Linked DNA regions of Caenorhabditis elegans. The protein of the gene in region 2 purifies or fractionates together with the protein of the main gene of each other region. This does not show direct contact. Each region holds a gene or a part of one and is shown on either strand. Other genes may lie near its edges. The genes, in order: snr-1, rsp-4 and dpm-1.

Region 1 (6,005 bases), on a different chromosome or scaffold from region 2:
TTGGTATTCATTGTTCGCGAAGAAGTAGAACCTGAAAAAATGTCGTGTTATTATGGAGACGTAGAAAAATGCAAATTTGGAAATCGCGCTCCACCGAACATTGGACCTTTTAGACGGGAAAGCTAGAAAATCAAATGTTTTTCGAGCACTTTTCGTCAAAATTACTTTTTTAACAGATTTTTGGCATAAAAATTTACGGAAAATACGAAAAATTCTCGAAAACGGGGAAAATCAAGCATTTTTCGACTTTTTTGTGATTTTTTGAGTGATTTTTATGCATTTTATGACGAAATTGAATTTTTTTGACAAAAAAAATTATAAAACACCACCAGAGAAATAACGAAAATAAGCCGAAAAATAACTGAAAACGTTTGAATTTATCGTTTTGCCGCCAGTTCCTAACGGTACCCAACTTTTTCGCGTTGGAGCGCGATTGCGCCTCGATTTCAAAAGGCGCGTACAAATTAAGAAGTGCCGTTGAAATATTACCGGAAATTATTGAAAATTCGGTTTTCTCATCATAAAAACTGATTTTTTTTACTTTTGAAAGAAAATTGAATTTTTTTTTGAAAATTCAAACTTACTCTATATAACTTGCTTCTTTGGTGATTTTCAACAAAATATAATAATCATCTCTTAAAATATTCTCTGCAAATTGCCAAATCACATCTTCCCCGACAAACGTCGGTACACGAATCGTAATTTGGCATACAATAAGGGAATATATTTTTCTAATTTTCAGAAGGTTATCCAAATAATTTTCAATTTCTTTCATTTCAAAGATGAAAATATGCTCTATTACCTGGAAAACATGCCCTTTTCGAAATTAAGGTTGGTGCAATCGCGCTCCACGGAATCTCGTTGGGTATTGGCGGCAAAAATTAGACATTCAAACGTTTTCACATGTTTTTTTTAAACATTTTTACGTTTTTTCAGTTGTTCTTGACGATTTTCAGAAAAAATTACATTTTTAGCAGAAAAATAATTTAAAAAAACGGTCAGAGCAACAAAAAAAAGACTAAAAAAGGTCGCAAAATATTTGAATCCCCAGTTTCCCCGCCAAAACGAGACCTTTTCGCGTTGGGGGCGATTGCACCTCGATTTCAAAAATATTTTTAAATTAAATTTGTATTTTCAGCTTACATTTTCTTCTTTAAATTGAAGCAGAGCATTGTTTAGTTGTGATTTTGAAAGATCATCTACTTTTTTATAATTTTCAAGCTGAAAATTTCAGAATTTAAAAGTTCATTTCTTCGACTATAAACTACAAACTCCACGGAGGTTCTCCCTCGAATCGATAATCAAATATTTGCAATTGAGCATCTTAAAATCGGTATTATTCAATATTTGGAGGGAATTTCCCCCGAAAAACACGAAATTATTGCATTTTTGAAACGGAAAAAATGTTCCAGACTCTTCCCAAGTGAAATATTCCGAGAGAGCACATCGTTTTACAGTGTACGGCAGATGTGAAAGCTTCTGAACAGAGAAATAAAAAAAATAACAGAATATTCGCGACCGCGACGCAATAGCAAGCGGAGCGGCTCGAAAAAAAACGTGGATTTTCAAGTTTTTCGCTCAATTTTTTGCGAAAAATTACTCACTTTGCCGGTAAACTCTAAATATTTTAGCACACACTGGTCTGCCCGTGCCAAAAGTTTGGCTCTATCCTCTATCCCTTTTGGAAAATGCTCTGCATCATCGAATGCTCCATTTAAATGCGAATAAAAGAATAAGGAGAACAAAAAGAAGACGACTGGCGAATGATTTACCATTTCGCCAGTTATATTCTAGGCGAATACCACACTTTGGAATTGTGGTAATCTTACAGGGAAATCTCCGAAACCAGTTTGTCGTCGTCTTTTTTCTGGAAAATAATTTATGAAAAATGAAGTATGATTCAACAAATAACAAAGTGCGGAGCCGGGACAAGCAGGAGATCACGTCAAATTCAACGGTCTGCGCACGCTTTGAAAAGAAGAGAAACTGGAAGAATGGGGGACTCGAGAGAGAGAAAAAATACAGAGAATTGATTATATTTGCGCCGTGTTGTGCTTATCCACGGAACGTTGGAGCTCCTCCCGGGCGAGACATTCCACGTGGTCCTCCACGGCCCATTGGTCGACGGAAAGCGGTTCCACGTCCTCTTCCACGCTGATCGAGACCTCCCAAACCCATTCCAATGGCTCCTTTCTGGGCTCTTCCGATATTTTTGAACATTGGCGCGTTTTTGAGCATATCCGGCAGAATCATGAATCGGATCTGGAAATTGATTGGTTTACAGCTGAAATTTAGAGAAAAATGGTGAAAAACCTTGTTTCCGCGAATGAAAACGTTGTCCAATTGATGACTTCTTCCGTCGCGGAAAGTCACAACGGTTTCAGCCAGCTGACAGTTCATGTTGTCTTCGGCTTCAGAAAGTTTTCCTCGGTAAACTTCGCCTGGAATAGAAAAGTATTTATTGAGCGACGGGAAATTCGAAAATGATTACCTGTAACGGTTTCGAGCGTGACCATGTGACCTTCGGCCTCATGAAGAATCTTGATTGGGACACCAACTGAAGTCATTCTGAAAATTTTGATTCTGTAGATTCGGCTTGAAGGGAGAAAACGTTAGAAAAAAGAAGTAGAATCGCCTAAAATTTCAGATTTTCACACTTTTCACGGTAAAGTTTGTTCTCATTTGAAATATGCTGAGCATAATAGACAAAAAAGGAATAAAACCCCGAAAATGAAGTTTTTTCGGAAAATTCTAGAATTTGCACGCGTTGCAAGAAAAATGTGGCAACAAATGGATTTCCAGATGAGAAAAATGTGTTTTAGAACTTTATTTTGAAGAAAATCTAGAAATAAAACGGTTTTTCTTTCTAAAAATTACGAAAAATGAAGAGCTCAAAATGAAAAATGAAGGGAATAAAATTCGAAAATAAGGCACGCGACGCAGCACGCAGCGTGTGCAGTGGGGCGCGTTTGCGGGAAGGGCCTCATGAAGTTAACTTCCCGGAGACGCAAGAACGCCGAAATTGGAGACTAGCATTTATGTAAAATGCAAATTTAAATATTTAATTAAATGAAAACTATTATATTATTCTTAATCAATTATAAATACTAAAAAAATACAGCAATTTTCATTTGTAAAGCTGCCAGAAACTATTTCAAATCTCACGTTCCCTTGTCCCCGAGATACTAGTTTTACGGAATGCGCATAGAATTTTTTAATTATTTACCAGATTTTACAGATGAATTTCCATAATTTTATGTAAAATATGAAGAAAAATCGGAAAATTCTCTAGAAAAATGTCAAATCGGCTTTATATTCTCCTTGCTGTAGTCCTTTTCCTAGCAACATTCGGTTCAACCGGTCTAATCGTTCTTCCAGCCAGTATCCTCTGTTTCGTAGCGGGGTAAGCTTTAATTCTTTAGAAAAACCTTAAACTGGAATACCTTCAGATTTCTCTACATTTTCTATCAAACGGGACACGAAAAACATGACGAAATCGCTGGAATTTTATCCGAAAATCTGCAAAAAGGAAAATTATCTGCGGGAATTGAGGCTCTGCTGAAAAATGGAAAACGACTCAAAGAGCAAAATCAATATGTGGAGGTGCATTCAATGTGCAATTCACCGCAATTAGATTTGGTTTTAGAACAAGTAGGGATTTATGTGGACTGAAATGTTATTAAAAATATTTTTTTTTAGATTCTCGGCAATATAACACGGGATTACGTCGGCTTTTGGTATAAAACACTTTCAAATGATAATATTTTTGAACAAAGCTTAAAGAGAACCTCCCGAAGATCAATTGCCTCATTGACACAATGGTGTGTAGCTCATTAATAAAATTTTATTTTATAAAACAAAAAATGGAAAAAAATCAATAAAATCTCAAATTTCCAGTCTCCGCCAGGTTGATTGGGTTCCATTGCTCACGCGTGACGTTGTCGACGATTTTGCTTCTCATTTACGGCTTTTCCGGAAAGCTAAGGAAAGAACTGCATTTCAAGCGAAGGAAAAAGATAAAACATTATCCCCTGAAGATTTGGAAGCGGAATTGCTCAGCAATTTCTTTGATTTTGAGCTGGAAATGGAAAAATCGTTGTGTAGAGATCTTCTTTCAACTACACCGCATTATGAAAATGGTAAAAATTGAGATTTTCGATGAAAAAATTCAATTTTTTCCGATTTTTCAGCCTATCTTCATGATCTTGTCGATATAATTCTCTATTTAATAATGCCACCGGAAGATTTTAGATGTCGGCCGCTGAGATTCTTGCTTCGAGAAGTTGTTGGTCAGTGTCGGAAGATATTCAGGAAATTGAGAAAAATTGAAAAAATAAAATCAATTTTTAAATCGAATTTTCTTCTAAAAAGACAAAAAATGACCGAAATTTGATGGAAAATTTAATTTTTTTCTGAAAAAAAAGTCAATGTCCCTTTAAAAGATGTGTAGATTTGCGAGCCACGAGTATACTCGTGGACAAGCATGAAAAACGTATTTTCTAGCAGGATTTCACGGTTTTTTGCGTTTTAAATTTAATTCTGCCTAAAATAATAAAAAAAATTATAGAAAAAATAATTTTTTATTGATTTTTTGTTGAAAATCGAAAAATTTTAATGCTATTTTTCGAAAAATCGGGGAAAAAACTAAAAAATATTTTTCGTTAACTTTTTTGAAATCCAAAAATTTAAAGTTTTTCGATTTTTCAAAAAATAGCAACAAAACCATCGAAACACACAATTTTTCTTCAGAAAATAGGAAATCTCAGACATTTTTGCCGAAAAAAACGCTTGTCCTCGCATAGTACACGGTGCTCGTAAATCTACACAACTTTTAAAGGGACATAGAAGGTCTCGCAACGCTCTTTGCTGGCGAAAAATGGATAAAAAAACGAAAATAACATTTAAAAATCTAGTTATTATTTTTTTTTTTCAGTAAGAAAAGTGATTCTGCCTACTCTGGACTACCTCTCCGATCCAAATGAAATATTTCAATTAATCGTTTGGCTTCTCAGTGAAGTGGAACCAAAACCCGATGATTTTGTGGCGTGTCTCACGAGTTCAACATCCATCGAAGAGCTGGAAGCCGTGTTCCGAGCGATTGCTGACGAAAAAATTGTAATGAGAGGGAAGGATTCCGGTGGAGAACAGGATACTTTCGTTAAACAACAACTAGCCAGTCTACAATTCGTCGAAAATCTAGTTCAGCGGCGAATCGACTTCTTGGGATCCAAAGATTCCGCGTTGCTCACGAAATTTGGCGAAGATGGAGATCAACTTGTACAGCTTCCACTTCACGTTATTCTCACGAATTCTATTGCTCTGTCACAGTTCTGCGAATTTCTCAAATCAGCTGGCGGTCAAAATTATATTGATCTTTATTTAGCCATTGAGGTACATTGGAAATGTCCTACTTGTGTGATTTTGCAGTTTTTTTGGCTTAGTTTTGCTTTAGAACACCATTTTTGATGAAAAACACTGAAAAGATCAGCGAAAATGACCCAAAATAAAGAATTTTCGGTCAAAAATCCTGCAAGAAACGCATGCCGCACAGAAAAATGGGCGGAGCGAAGATTTGCAACCCTGCGGCGCGCCGAGCGTGTACTTCTCGTGGACAACTGGAAATTAATTTTTTGCATTTTCTCAGTCTTTCTGCTAAACTTTTTGGTTTTAGGTCATTTTTGCTGATTTTTTTTGTGTTTAACATTCAAAATTCGCAATATATCACTTATTTATAGTGTTTTCGTTCAAAAATTTCCCAAAATCGAGAGTTTGTGGTTTTTTAACCGTTTTCATTGTGAAAGCTTGAAGAAATATGATTTTAGATCTGAAAAATCCAAAATTCCCTATTTTTCAACTCGAAAGTGTCAAAAATCAAAAAAGTTTGATATGATAACTAGAGAAATTCCGTTTTTCGTATGAAAAATCCCGAAATGCACAGTTTTTGAGCTATTTTCTGTGCAAAATCTCTTTTTTTGGTCTATTTTTGATGAAAAACACTGAAAAAA
Region 2 (6,792 bases):
TTCTACGAGGAATTCAACAATTGCCCGTTTAATGATCTCGAATCGTATTGTTGCACGCTTTTCTTTGTGGATAGAATTGAATGTGTAAGTTATTATTATTTTATTTCAATAATTCCAGATATTTCGAAACAATTTATAAATTTCAGACAACGTCGAATGATCTCTTCTCCTCCGATGATACATCTCTTACGGAGCTTCCAACTTGTGCAGTTTGTCTGGAACGAATGGATGATAGTGTTCTTGCAATTCTATGTAATCATTCATTTCATGCTCGTTGCCTGGAACAATGGGCAGACAATACTTGTCCAGTCTGTCGATATGTTCAATCTCCAGAAGTTGTCGCAGAGCAACGTTGTAATGATTGTGGAATGAGCAACGATCTATGGATTTGTCTAATTTGTGGAAATATAGGTTGTGGAAGATACGCAGAACAACATGCACAACGACATTGGGAGCTCACTTCACATACTTATAGTTTGAAAGTTGGAGGAGAACGAGTCTGGGATTATGCTGGAGACAATTACGTGCATAGATTGATTGAAAATGGAGCTGATGGGAAACTTGTCGAGTATCAGAGAGAATCGAATGCGGTATGTTCATACTGGACCAAAAAAAAATTGTTGATTTAAAAACAATAATTTTTTGTTAAAAAACTGGTGGAAACAAAAAAAAAGAATGTTTTGAGGCTTCAAAGTGCCGAAAATCAACCTTTTCGTATAACTAATTTGAATTTCGCGCACTAATTAGTTTTGAAAATTCTCGGCCGTGTACTCCTCTCGGGCAATGAATCAATTAATTTTTTTGGATGCAATTTTTCGGGTTTTCTCATTGAATTCTATTGGTTTTTGTTTGAAAACAAATATATATATATATATATATGCGTCTGTAAATGCGTTTCAAATTAATTATCACACAAATACTTTTGTTCTGCCTAGGAATAAGTGCTAAAATCCTGTAATATATTCATTTTCCCCTTTATCGTTGAATAATAAGTATGATCATGTTCTAAAAGTGTTTGAAATCCAAAGTGTTTGATTTTTTACTTTATTTTTGCTATCATAAAGCAAAATTTTTTTTTTTTCGTGAAAAAATACCTTTGAAAAACAGAAAAAAAAGCAAAAAAAAAGTCCAGCACTGTTTTGTGGCCTTTTCATTCTATACAGAAAATTTATAAATTCATTTAAAATTTTGTTTTCAAGTATTCTGACTAAATAGACCAGAATGTTTAGTCTTCACTCAAATTCCCTAAAAATGTTGAAAATTGCAGAGCTTTGATGACAAAAACCAAAAGGGTGGAGACAAGCTTGAGGGAATCAAACTCGAATACACTCTACTCCTGACCAGTCAACTTGAGGATCAACGGAAATATTTTGAAGGTCTACGTCACGATATGGAGCAAACGATGTCAAAAATGGAGAAAACTGCTTATGCTCAAGTAGAGAATCTCGAGCATCAACTGACGGAACGATCAACTGAATTGAAATCATTAAAAGGAGATTTAGATGATACTGTGACGGCGAGAAAAGTGGCAGAGAAACGAGCAACGCAGACAAATGAAAAAGTGAATAAGCTTGCAAATGAGTTGAAAGATGAACGTGAAATAAATCAAATGTTGAGAAAAGATCAGCAAGTGTGGAAAGGTCAAGTGGAAAAGCTTATTGAAAGTCAGAAAACTGCTCGAACCGAGTATGAAAAGGTATTCGTCTAAATAGATTCCCTTGATCTCTTGAAAGCTTTTCTTTTCAGAAAATCGAAGATCTTCAGTCACAAGTCAATGATCTTTTGATGCATTTTGAAACTCAAAATAAGCTGAAAGAGCAGTTGGATGCTGGAAAAATAACTCAAGAGGTTGGTTAACCAATGCTCGCCACAATAAAAATGTTTAATTTACAGGAAATAACTGAAAGTCAAGTTGAACTCGATTCGTCGTCCTCCTCGTCGAGAAAATTGAACAGAAAGAAGAAAAAGTAGTTGGCATCTCAGGAGATCCATGTCCTATTTAATTTTTGCATATTGAACATTTCTTTAATAGTCTTTTCATATATGGTTAGTCTCACTTGAATATTTATTCGCTTTCTTTCGCGTATCTCATCGAATTTTGTGCGGTATATATGTATGCAGCCGGTAGTTTATTTAATGCATTCGCTTATGAATAAAATGATATCGTTCGAGTGTCTTTTGGTTTCATATTATGTACCATGTTTTCAATCGTTATTAAACGACGAGTCAAAAACTATTTTTCGAATTCCCTCCTCTTTCCTTGCTGACACATTTTCGGTGCTGACGCAACTCTTGTGTTCACTAAGAACGCACACTTCGTTTTAAACGTCTCCGCTGGCCATCATTCTTGTTTCCTTCGATTTTTCTCGATACTTATCTTTTACAAATTATTTTCTCTTTTTTTCAAGATTTCCATCAACTTTTAATATCACTGCTCTCATAATTTCTCGAAACTCTTCGTATTTCTCTAATTCAAAAGTTTTCTGCCGCATTTTTACACTCACTAACCAAGATTATCGATTTTTGGGCAATTTATGACAATTTGGAATCATCTTTTGTGTCGTCCGATAATGAGTTTCGTTCATCAAAAATGCAGAAATATCGGTATAAACAATGTATTAATCTAACATTAAATACAAATTTAACCTCTAGATACGGTTTACCTTGGTAGTAACATTCACCGACTAAATGTGCCTGATAATCTTGTCAAATGGAGCCAAGAATGGTCAGGATACAATCCTCCGGCTCACACCGATCCAAAAGTTGATGGAGCTGTTTGGGCAGACCCAGAAATCGATGAGAAAACGTTCCAACCGTCTTGGAATGCGATCGATGGGAAAATCAATAGAGTGTCATATGTTTGGTGCGTTTATGAGTGTATATACTCAATCAATCAAGAAACCTTCCAGTCAGTACTCATTTGATCCTGTCACCCTTCGCCCACTAAATCCTATTGGACGTACGGGACTTTCTGGTCGTGGTTTGCTTGGTCGTTGGGGTCCAAACCACGCAGCAGATCCGATCGTTTCTAGAACAAACGACAATGGTGATTTGGAGTTTGTTGCAGTTCAACGTCATGACAATGGCGAGTGGGCAATTCCTGGAGGAATGGTGGATGCTGGAGAGCATGTTTCACAAACTCTACGGCGCGAATTCGCAGAAGAAGCAATGCATGGAATTGTCGATTCTGAAAATCTTGATGAATTGTGGAATAATGGTAAAGAGTTATACAGGTGCATTCACAGCTCTTTTATCCCACTCAATGTTTCATTTACAGAGGTTACGTTGATGACCCACGTAACACTGATAACGCATGGATGGAGACTGTTGTTTTCAATTTTCATGATTCAAAAGGCCTTCTGAAAAATGTGGCTCTTCAAGCAGGAGATGATGCTAAAGCTTTACGCTGGATTGCAGTTAATTCAAATGAGCCACTTTACGCTTCTCATTCTCATTTTATTGATCTTCTAAAAGAATCTCATTCTCATTAACTACCACATGTCTCTCTTTTCTCATGTTCTCCTCTTATTTTCGCGTTTCTGTTAGCTATATTCAATTCATAAATGATTTTCATTTCAGAAATGAGCCGTGGAGGAGGTGGTGATCGTCGTGCCGCACCGGATATCAATGGTCTAACTTCGCTGAAAATCGACAACTTGTCGTACCAAACAACGCCCAACGATTTGCGTCGAACTTTTGAGCGATACGGAGACATTGGAGATGTTCACATTCCAAGGGACAAGTACTCTCGCCAATCGAAAGGATTCGGATTCGTTAGATTTTATGAGTAAGTTAAATTGGAACTATTGGAGAGAAAACATCAGAAAATCAATATTATTTTAGACGTCGTGATGCTGAGCACGCATTGGACCGCACAGACGGAAAGTTGGTTGATGGACGCGAGTTACGTGTGACTCTTGCAAAGTATGATCGACCATCGGATGAGAGAGGAGGCCGTGGAGGTGGTGGTGGACGTAGAAGGTTAGTATACTCAGTTGATTCCCCTTGTAGTTGTGCTCAAAAATTAGGCGCGAGACTTAATGGAACCCTTGTCTTCCTGACTTATTTATAGAACAGCAGCAGAGCCAGATGTTGCTGAGCTGAGCTGAATTTTTGCTGCTGTTGAAGCTGTAAATGCTTGCTGAGTGACACTTGAGTAGCAGAATTGCTGAAAATGCAGAGAAAAGCAGTTTTGATGTTGCTGTGTCTGCTGAATGAAACCAGCGGCGACAGTGTGGAAAAGGCAGAAAACAATTTTGTAAGTGCCCGAATATTTTCAATCGGCATATTCTACAGTTTGTTGCTGAAATTCAACTTTCGGTGGCAAACTGTATTGATAGACGTTGTTCTTTGTCTTTGAGTTGTCACTTCTTTCTATCGAATAGAACATTCACAGCGAGTAATGTATTTTGTACTCTATCAAAAACTTGATTCTTTTAAAAACTTAATAAATTTCAGATCCCGCTCACCGAGAAGACGCTCCAGATCTCCAAGATATTCTCGCTCAAGATCTGTAAGTTACTTTTAATGTCACCAATGTATTTAAATAATTTCAGCCGCGACGTTCTCGTAGTCGTACTCGTTCACCACCATCTCGTGATCGCAGAGATTCACCGGATCGTCGTGACAACTCTCGTTCCCGATCTCGTTCACCGCCACCACGTGAGGATGGATCTCCAAAGGAACGCCGTTCCAGAAGCCGCTCGGCATCTCGTTCGCCAAGTCGTAGCCGTTCCAACTCCCGCTAAATTCCGAAAAAATTTCCTCTTCGATTTCTGATTATTTTTCGTTTTCGTTTTCGTTTTTACTATGATTTACTCACTGATCCTGAAATTTCAAACGTCTTTTTTTTCCAGTTGCCTCCAACAAGACAAGTAATATATATGATTTCCAATTTTCCATCTAATTTCTCCAAGAGAACTGTTAAAATAAATCGAAATTCTGTCCGTCAATATTGTTCCAAACTTTTTTCTCTTGAATAAATTGGCTCAAGTGTCAAAGCAGTTAGAAATGTTCACCCAACCACACTTCCGGCTTCCGGTGTCGGAGCTCAGGTCTGGTTTTCAAAAAAACAAAATTTCATTTTCAATATGGGCTATGTTGGAAATGTCAGCTATCCTGATACAATTCCTGGTCAGGGAAATTTGGTTTTTGAAGCAAGTTTTGAATCTGGTTAGTTTTAAATTCAATTATAGACAAACAAGGAAGTAATTATATTATTATTTTTTGAATATTTAAAAAGTTTAAATTTTAAGGAAATTTGGGACGAGTCGACAAAGTTTCCTGTTCAGAATATGATTTATTCATTCGACCTGACACTTTGAATAATAAATATAGAGTTTGGTTCTATTTTGAATGCAAAAATGCATCTGAAAATCAGGTAAATGTTTGAAGAATTTGTATTTATTATTGATATTCGAAAACTGGATCTGAGGCGGAAACGTCGGGTCTCGCAGCGATTTTTAAAAAAATTCAATACCCTACGGGTTACTGTAGGTTTTCAGTTTTTTTCTGCAATGGCCATGGTTCTGAAATATTTACGAATTTTCCAGTATACCTAAATATGTTCTTTATTTTCGGGGAGAACATTTTGAGACAACTTTTTTCCTAGCTACAGTACTCTATTTTCCGCGCTAAAAGGTGTGTGCCTTTAAGAATACAGTAACCCATTCCTCGTTTTGAAAGTTACCGGCGGTTACTGTATTGATTGAAGGCGCACACCTTTTTGACTGGGTACTATTTGAAAATTAGTGTAATTATGCAGTTTAAACTTTAAAATTTTATTATCAAATTTGCAAATTCTTCAGCGGGCGATCTTCAATATTGTGAACTTTTCAAAACAAAGAACACTATTCGAAATGGGAATTGCAGCACCTGTAGTCAAATCAAATGCTCAAAATAGTTGGTATGATGAAAACCCCTCGATTTTCTATTTTAAAGAGCCATTTCAACATTTTAGGGCTCGAATCCCATCTCGCCATATCTACTACTACCGTAGTTCCCAACACAATGATCGTTGGATTCTTTCATTTGCTTTCATATTTGAATCACCAGATCCTGTTCAATTTGCATACTGTATACCGTATACTTATGGACAAATGCAGATATGGTTGAATGAGTTGGAATCCAGAAAATACCCATTTTTTCATAGAGATCTTTTGGTTCAAACTGTGGTAAATTGGAAATATTCATGGAATAGTCTGAAACTTTTTGGAAAATAATTCAGCAAAAACGTCGTGTCGACTTGATAACAATTGATGCAACACCTGACACATTCCAAGGATCCAAGAAAATGATTTTTCTAACTGCGCGAGTTCATCCTGGAGAGTCACCGAGTAGTCATGTTATGCATGGAATTATTGAATTTCTTGTTTCCAAAGATGATCGAGCACAGAAGTTGAGAAAAGTTTATTGTTTCAAAATTATTCCAATGCTTAATCCAGATGGCGTTTTTCTCGGAAATTATAGGTAACTTTTTGCAAACAGCCTAGGTAGGCATTCCTCGTCACCAACAACCTCTCGGCCCAGGCATAAAGGCGTACCTACCTACAGTGCCTACCTTATCAGAAGGTCATTTCAGATGTTCTCTAATGGGTCATGACTTGAATAGAATGTGGAGAACCCCTTCAGATTGGGCTCATCCTTCAATTTATGCTGTGAAGAATTTACTGACGCAATATGATAATAATCCGGTGAGAGCTGTTAAATTTATCGATATTGGGAATTTATCGATATACATATTCAGTGTTTTGTAGGACTTTTGAGCATTTTCATCAATTTTTTTTTGCAATT
Region 3 (7,909 bases), on a different chromosome or scaffold from region 2:
GATAAAGACGAAAAACTACTTTTTCGGAAAAAAAATTTTTTTTGGCAAAATGGCATTTTTTGGCCTTTTGTTTTATCACAACTTTTTGCCTTTTGCACTTATGAACTCAAACTTTCTTTCAAAAAATCCACCTCTCTGAGTAGTATCTTGCACATAAATTTGGAACAAAACCGAGCAAAATCCGAATTTTAATTCAATTAAAACATGGTTTTTTGGGGGTAAAAAGAGCAACAAAAATTTTTTTCAAACTGGGGAAAGCCGCCCTGAGCTCAGTTTTGCTCCAAACTTTGTGCAGTTTTTTGCTCCCCCGTGGGGTGAAATATTTCTAGTAAGCTGTCAAATATTATAAAATTCAGTCAAACGGCTCTGGAGTTATTAATGAAAACGAAGTGTGACATTTTTTCGCAAGCTAAAAAAAACGCGAAAAAACGCGAAAAAGGGGCGGAGTCTGTACACTCGGCATTTATTAGAGGCTGCTTGGCAGACTAGTTAGACTTACGAAAATTGTTAGATAAGCTGATTGTATATAGTTTTTCTTTATTTGAAGTTATTTTGATGAAACTGTTTAGGAACAGGAGCCACATTTTCAATTTTTGAAACAAAAATTTGACAGTTATTTTATCTTAAAATGTGGGACATTATTAAATTGTGGGACATTATGTAGTTGTAAATCAATCACGATAGACGACGTTACAACCTGTTTACAACCTGTTAGCTCAAATATGATATTTGGGAAAACATATTTGAACTCTACAGTGACGTTGTTGGCATTTTACGATTATTTCTGTCTTTTCTCTTGACTATTATGTATTTCCAGATATCAGAAGTACTAGTAAATATGGACTCAGACATAAAAATTAAACAACGTTAAAATATTTATAGAAAGCAGAAATTGAGCAATAGTTGTAGATTATCTAAGTCAATGTGCGCAGAATCCGCGCGGAAAGTGCGCGGAATGTGCTCAAAGGGCTAGCGGTGTGGAAAATGGCCACACCAAAGGCAATGTGCGTGGAATGTGCGCAGAATGCATGATTTCTGGATGAAAAACACACAAAAACCAATGTGCGCAGAATGTGCGCGGAAGGTGCGCGGAATGTGCGCATACGTCTACCGAGACAGTCACTGTTCTTGGTGAACGGCCAGAGTCACTATATTTGGGCCGTTCACCAAATATAGTGACTCTGGCCGTTCACCAAAAATAGTGACTCAGAAATGCACAGAAATGTGCAACAGAGTACGGCAGTGTGCGGCACACACACCCACTTTTTTTTCTGGAGTTTGCCGCTCATCGCCAGCTTTCCAGGGCACAATTCACAGCTCGGGGGTAGTCGTTGAAAGACGTTGAAAGCGCCCTGGAAAACTGGACCGATTTGCCGAGATATTGGTACAAAAATATAACATTTTTAACTCCCAACACTGGATAATCTGAAAATTTTAATCTCTTTTTGAAAATTGGATACATATTTCTTCTATTTTTCGGCATTTGCCGAGCTTTAATTATTCGGCAACTTGACACTTAGCCAACCAGAACATTTGTGCACAAATTGTTTCCAATTTTGTTGGCATCTTAAAAAATATTATAACGATTTATTCGAAGAAAAAATATAATTTAAACAAGAATGTTTGGAAACAATATAAATAGGAATCCCCAAGGTCATAATAAAAAAATTTGGAAAACGTACAATGAAGCGCTCTGGCTATAAAACTCTCAGAAATTTTAATTCTTAAAATTTAAATTAAAAATAGTAAAATGAATACAAATTATATCACAGAATCTACCAAACAAATGCAAACAGATAGAGAAGTCCTTTTGCGTAATCCACGATTTCCTGACTTCCGAGCTTTGATTCTCCAAAGAATCGATCGACGAATGAGATTGGTACCTCCCCAATACGATAACCCGATTTTTTCGCTCGAAACATCATTTCCATCTGCAATTCGGATTTTAAAAACATTAAAAAATCTTTTTCACAGTATTTTGTTATTAAAAAATCTTCTTTATATATATTTAACTTTGAATTTTCGAAGAGCCTCAGAATAAGCTTAAGTTTTGATTGCATTTCTGTTTCTTGATCAATAAAAACCTTTTTTCATTGGCTCCGGTTTTTGGTAAATGGTGTGCACGAGTTGCAGAAATATCTTTATTTTTCAAAATTTAAACCTATATTCACCTGAAAAACGTATCCTTTGCTTACACTTTCAGCAATCAACTTCGACAGAATATCTCTCTTATAAAGACGAAATGATCCTGTTAAATCAGATACACCTGGATTCAGCAGAAACTGAGCCAAAAAATTGGCTCCCTTGCTGATCGTCTTCCTCTTCAAATCCCATCCACTAACACCACCTCCGTCCTTGTAGCGTGTTCCTGTCACGATGTCGAGCTGAAAAATAAATAAAAAAATTGTATTTTTATGCTTAAAAAAGGCATTGTGTTGATATAAATGTGATGGTTTTTTAAATGTAATATTATGTCCTCTATTATCGGAAACTTGATATTAGGTGAGACATTATTTTCGGCAAACGCACAAAACTGGCGCATTTCAACATGATAATCAGGGGTGTGCGGATAACCGACTTTTTCGGCTAACAGATAGATCGGCTAATGCCGACTTTTTTGAAGCCGGCTAACGGCTATTCACTACAACTTTTTTCGAACGAGGGACGAGGCAAAAAGGTTTCTAGGCCATGGCCGAGTCCCCGACAAGTTTCAGCGGCCATTTATGTTGCTTTGTTTTCCGCGTGTTTTCTTTCGTTTTTCACCAATTTTCCCCATTTTTTCTTATTAATACTAATAAATAAATATTTTTTGCAGATGCTAAAACAATTTCCAAGTGAAAAAATTGTGTATTGAGTCTGTAAGTAACGGTGAAAGTGGTCAATGTAATATGATGGATTACGGGAACACAAAACCCAAACTTTTTCCCACACATGATACATATGCTGCTCTGATGCTGAAACTACCTGATTTTCATAACGAGACCACTGAAAAAGTTTTGAGGCTTTCAAAATTCAACTTTTTTGGTGAAAAAGTAGAGATTTTCGCACAAAAAGTTGAATTTTGAAAACCTCAAAACTTTTTCAGCGGTCTCGTTATGAAAATCAGGTAGTTTCAGCATCAGAGCAGCATATGTATCATGTTTGGGAAAAAGTTTGGGTTTTGTATTCCCGTAATCCATCATATTACATTGACGACTTTCACCGCTACTTGCCGACTGAATACATATTTTTTCATCTGGAAATTATTTTAGCATTAGCAAAAAAATTTATTTATCAGTTTTGATAAGAAAACACGGGAAAAATTGGTGAAAAACAAGAGAAAACAAAGCAAGTACAAAATGTCGTAAAATGCGGTGTTTTGTGTGCAAACACCGATTTTTCGCATTTTTTCTCGGCCCTCGTTCGAAAAAAGTTGCGGTGATGTTCACTATTTTTTAGCAAATTCAGTGATGAACGACTGTTCAAATAGAAAAAATCATATAAAACCCCAACATTTTTTCCAAAAAAAAATGTGTTAGTGAAATTAGCAGACCGGGAAATTGGGCTAAGATCGGCCAACATCGGCTACCGGATAACTTAAAGTTTAAATTAGCTAAACTGGCAGAAATTCGGCTGATAGTGAATCGGATATTATCAGCACACCCCTGATCCAACTGTGCCTGAAAGTTACAGTTTGCCGAAAAAACTTTTAACGGCACCTTTTCGTCAAACGACAATTTTCAGGTACTATTTGAGGACTTTTTTCAATTTTTTAACAGAAATATATGTTATTTTCAGATAGAACATGCTGTGTTCTACATTTCTATATAAATTTTAAATGCTTAACGTTGCATAATAAGTTCTTGCCATATTTTTCTCAAATTGGAAAACTTTCATCAAATTAACTATTATTTAACTAAAATAACATTTGTACACCTATAAATTTTGAAATTTAAAAAAGTTCTGTTTTTTTAACAATTTTTAGAAAAAATGTACGAATAATGTATACCTTATACTTATGTTGAAGCGCAATCATTTCCGGAATGAATTTTGGATGATGAGAAAGATCTGCGTCCATAAGAATGATAAATTCTCCACGTGCAAACGATAATCCATGTGAATAGGCTGTACCAAGTCCAAGTTTTCCAACTCGTGGCTTGATCAGAATCTTATCGTCTCCGTACTCCTTTTGAAGAAGTTTTGCAATGCCTTGAGTACCGTCTGGTGATGCATCGTCAACGATAATCACTTCATGTGAAACTTCTTTCAGATAATTTTCAATTAACCAAATGCAAATCGGCAAATTTTCTTTTTCGTTGTAGGTTGGCAGAATTATCGAATATTTCGGAGTGGATGTCATAATAATCTGAAACATAAAATTCCTTTTGAATAATCTGACTAGGGATCCCTGTAAAAACTTGGTGAATAAGAGAAACAAAAAGTATACCAATCGGAAGCTTGTGTTAAATACTGGCTACTCGAAATCAAAACAAAATTAATCGGTCTCAAAGTCTTAAAAACACTAGTGTCACTGAAAATTAAAGTTGGAGTACCGAAATCTAAGACTTTGCTTTTTAGAACCAAATGATTCAAAACTACCGAATTTCGTAATGAGAAGTTTTGAAATTTTCTCAAAAAAAAGTTATGGGTCAAAGTTTTAGAAAAAGCTCATTTTCAGCTAAAATCACATTTTTCCACCTTCTCGGTGTGACACCGTCTGGAACTAAATTTTTATTCAATTATCAATCTTTAATAAATATTATGGTCCTTTACTACGCGCTTATTCTTTGATTAAAGTACATTTTCGGTCAGTGGGTCACAAAAATGTACCTTTTATTGGTCCCCCCAATCGATTTTTTCACAGAAAAAAAATGATAAATTTCACTGTTTTTGAGCCAGAAATACGATTTTTTGAGTAAAAAACGTTGAAATTAAGAGTTTTCAGTGAAACTTCACGCTTCTTATCGCATTTTTCCATTTTTGAAGTCAAATTCGTTCTGAGATCGGGTTTTTTACCCGAAAATTCGCGTTTTTCTCGGAAAATGGCTGAAAATTCGGCGTTTATCGCTGAAAAATGAGGTTTTTAGAGGTTTTTAGCATATTAGTATTTTCAAGCTAATTTCGACCGGAAACTCGATTTTCCTCCACAAACTTCTTGGTTTCCTATCCACCAAGCTGTTACGGGGTTCCCTAGTGAAATAGAGATAATTGATATAAAATTGCGACTAAACGCACAAATCAATATTAATCAGATCGAGAATAAAGTCGATATTCATAGTAAATATAACGAAAACAAAAAATCTAACAAAAAAAAAGAAATACTACATGCTAATAACGAGATTTTTCTTATTTTTTCGTGGATTTCTGCCCGGGTGCCGACCAAAACTTCATATACTCCGACTCATCGAAGGTGTCATCGATAACTTCCTGAAAAAACCATTTTTAATTTGAAATCGTTAATTATATAATTACTGTTTTTGTGATCTTGGCTTTTGGTTTACGAGCAGCCAGCCGTTGTCGTCGTTCATCCTCGCTCAACTGTTTGAGGTCGACGGCAGATTGGAATGTCTGAAAATATGTACAATTAAAAAACTGATTAAATATAAAAACTGCAATTAAATATGTATTTTTCAAAAAGCAACCTGTCTCGGTTCAGCGGCGGGAACCATGATTGTCGAACCATCCGGACGGATAAATTTAACTTGGTACCGATGCAAGTAGTCTCGACGGCTGATTTTTCCCAAACTTGCTCTCCACGCATTATTTCTCTCTGAAAATGTGAAATTCACGCGGGAATAGTGATTTTGATTTAGGGAGAGGAAGGGGGAAATGGTTTATAAAAAGTCTGATTTTGAGGAGAAATGAATGGAAATAATAGTAATTGCAATTTTCACATGAAAAATGTTGTACGAAAAATGTTCTGCCACGTTTTTTTTTTGAAAATAACCTTCAAATGATATTTTTCGACCTTTTTCCTTTACTAACCTGCTGTGATGGCTTTTGAGCAGCTTGTTAGCAAGTTTCGCATGGAAATTTGAGTGTTCATCTGCAAAAACATTTAGAAATTCAAGAAAAATCACAGGAATACACTGAAAAATCAATAAGTTTTAATAAAGACGTGTATTTTTGACTTATTCGAGAGGAGTGCACAAACAAATTCTCAGCGGAGCGCGTTTGCGGCGCTCACTTTTCGTGTCACTTACGCGGCAAATGCAAATAAAATTAAAATAAGAAATGAGAAAAATGCGAGAAATTATTGAAAAAGATAAAGGAACTGATTCGAAACGGTAAACAAACTTTATAGTATATATAAAGTTTATACACGGCCTCCTGCGGGTGAAACGCGCAAGCAAGTCGCTCTCGTCATCTTTCACCTCTCACTTGCGCACGCTCTTTCGCTCAAAACGTGAAAAGCGGCGAAAAACGGAAGATTTTGAACAAAGCTTCAAATTCTTGCTAATTTACGTTTGAAAAAAATATTAAAATTGAATGAAAAATGGATTGTTCAATAAGATTTTCAATAACAATTTTAATTTTTGTAGTTCAATATACCAGAAATCACGATAAATATTATTTAAACGTGCGTAACTTTGCGAATAAGAAATAAAACAGGAAGCAGTCAATTATGAAAATAATATTTGAACAATTTTGAACATTTCATTAGTTTAGCGTTTTTTGATTCCGTCACTGGTTACTGAGTTATGATCTATAACAGCTAGCGAGGTTATATCAAGGAATTTAACTTGTACGTTTTCCAAAAGAGCATAGCTCTCTCGTGAGCATAGATATCAAAAAACTTTTAGCCGAAGAAATGCTCAGCATACAAAACACTACAATTCTTGATTTTACTTTTTTTAATTCTTTTATTATTTAAAAAGATATACGCACTTAAAAACACAAGTACTACGTTTTTGATAAAATCCCATTGCGCATACATTACCACTGTTGTAACTACTCAATGGCTTCACTTACGAAAAAGTTCTTAACTGAGAAATGTTGGCTACATTATCAACTTTAGTTTTCTAGTTGAAAAGTTTTTCATATCTTCCATAGTTTTCAAGATGCTGCTTACTGAAGACAAACTACAGTATAAAAAGTTGGAATAGGTTTTGTTTTTTTGGGTCTCCTCTTCCAATTTAGCGCATTTCACGCGCAGGACGCCGTATTGAAAGTTGAGTTTCCGCTTACCATTTGATTAAAAGCCCGCAAGTTTCCGTGAATTTACGTGTATTTATTGCACACGGTGTTTGTGGATTTTGAAGCTACAGTAACTAAATTATCGGGGAATTTTGACCTTTAATAAAGTTTTCGATTTTTTTGGAAAATTGAAAAAAGTGGCCAACTATGATCCGCCTATTATTCACAAATGTTAAATAAGTGTGTGGGGATCAGGGGTGTGGGGCAAATTTACCAAATTTACCGCAAACATCAAAAATTGACAATACAATTTTAGCCGAAACTATTGATTTTGTCCTCAAAAATTTTGTAAAATGGCACAAAATTGAGCTGTTTTGATGTTGAAGAAGACACACTACACGGAACTTGTTTGGAAACCAGATGTGTGTTAAGAATTCAGTAGTTTTGGTGCTCTAAAGACTTTGAAAAATATAACATTTTAGGAGTTTGTTAAGCTCGGCAAATTTACCGAACTTGCCGAATTTGTCGTGCACTGTAAATTTGGCCAACTGGCTATACCAGTTAATTCAAATCTTGCGTTTTCAACTCGACTTGAGTATTTTAAAGTCGATGGACGAAGAGATTTTGTAAATTATAACTTTTTAACTTTTTTTTGACCATAACTTTTTTTGAGAAGTTTTACAGAAGGGTCAGTATGAAATTCAGCGTTTTCAGACAATTTTTAGTCTCATAAAGTAATTTTTAAAAAGTTAGACTACACCACTTTTAAGCACGGCAAATTTGCCGAACTTGC

What was found.
Region 1: the proteins of rsp-4 (region 2) and snr-1 fractionate together in Caenorhabditis elegans (co-fractionation; one large-scale study listed by BioGRID). This does not show direct contact.
Region 3: the proteins of rsp-4 (region 2) and dpm-1 fractionate together in Caenorhabditis elegans (co-fractionation; one large-scale study listed by BioGRID). This does not show direct contact.

Annotation. Positions count from the first base shown.
Region 1 is NC_003282.8:17,084,621-17,090,625, reverse strand, and holds snr-1 (Small nuclear ribonucleoprotein Sm D3), read right to left. Parts: upstream 2,578-6,005; 5' UTR 2,568-2,577; coding exon 2,492-2,567; intron 2,442-2,491; coding exon 2,314-2,441; intron 2,263-2,313; coding exon 2,056-2,262; 3' UTR 1,776-2,055; downstream 1-1,775. Other genes in the region: Y116A8C.43 (Lipoprotein), read right to left, coding at 1-31, 585-802, 1,144-1,221, 1,273-1,479, 1,605-1,775; snx-13 (Sorting nexin-13), read left to right, coding at 3,297-3,403, 3,450-3,651, 3,700-3,821, 3,898-4,139, 4,191-4,289, 4,934-5,391. UniProt on the Caenorhabditis elegans protein: Plays a role in pre-mRNA splicing as a core component of the spliceosomal U1, U2, U4 and U5 small nuclear ribonucleoproteins (snRNPs), the building blocks of the spliceosome.
Region 2 is NC_003280.10:5,385,616-5,392,407, reverse strand, and holds rsp-4 (putative splicing factor, arginine/serine-rich 4), read left to right. Parts: upstream 1-3,578; 5' UTR 3,579-3,581; coding exon 3,582-3,787; intron 3,788-3,843; coding exon 3,844-3,981; intron 3,982-4,072; coding exon of another isoform or gene 4,073-4,109; exon of another isoform or gene 4,110-4,258; intron 4,259-4,458; coding exon 4,459-4,513; intron 4,514-4,556; coding exon 4,557-4,748; 3' UTR 4,749-4,997; downstream 4,998-6,792. Other genes in the region: brap-2 (BRCA1-associated protein homolog 2), read left to right, coding at 1-84, 147-590, 1,268-1,696, 1,747-1,848, 1,894-1,971; ndx-6 (Putative nudix hydrolase 6), read left to right, coding at 2,571-2,604, 2,653-2,863, 2,910-3,233, 3,278-3,491; ccpp-6 (Cytosolic carboxypeptidase 6), read left to right, coding at 5,091-5,172, 5,256-5,380, 5,808-5,905, 5,960-6,173, 6,227-6,468, 6,581-6,692. UniProt on the Caenorhabditis elegans protein: May play a functionally redundant role in embryogenesis.
Region 3 is NC_003282.8:442,113-450,021, reverse strand, and holds dpm-1 (Dolichol-phosphate mannosyltransferase subunit 1), read right to left. Parts: upstream 4,346-7,909; 5' UTR 4,340-4,345; coding exon 3,989-4,339; intron 2,385-3,988; coding exon 2,172-2,384; intron 1,932-2,171; coding exon 1,776-1,931; 3' UTR 1,573-1,775; downstream 1-1,572. Other genes in the region: mrpl-55 (39S ribosomal protein L55, mitochondrial), read right to left, coding at 5,326-5,406, 5,452-5,547, 5,622-5,749, 5,965-6,037.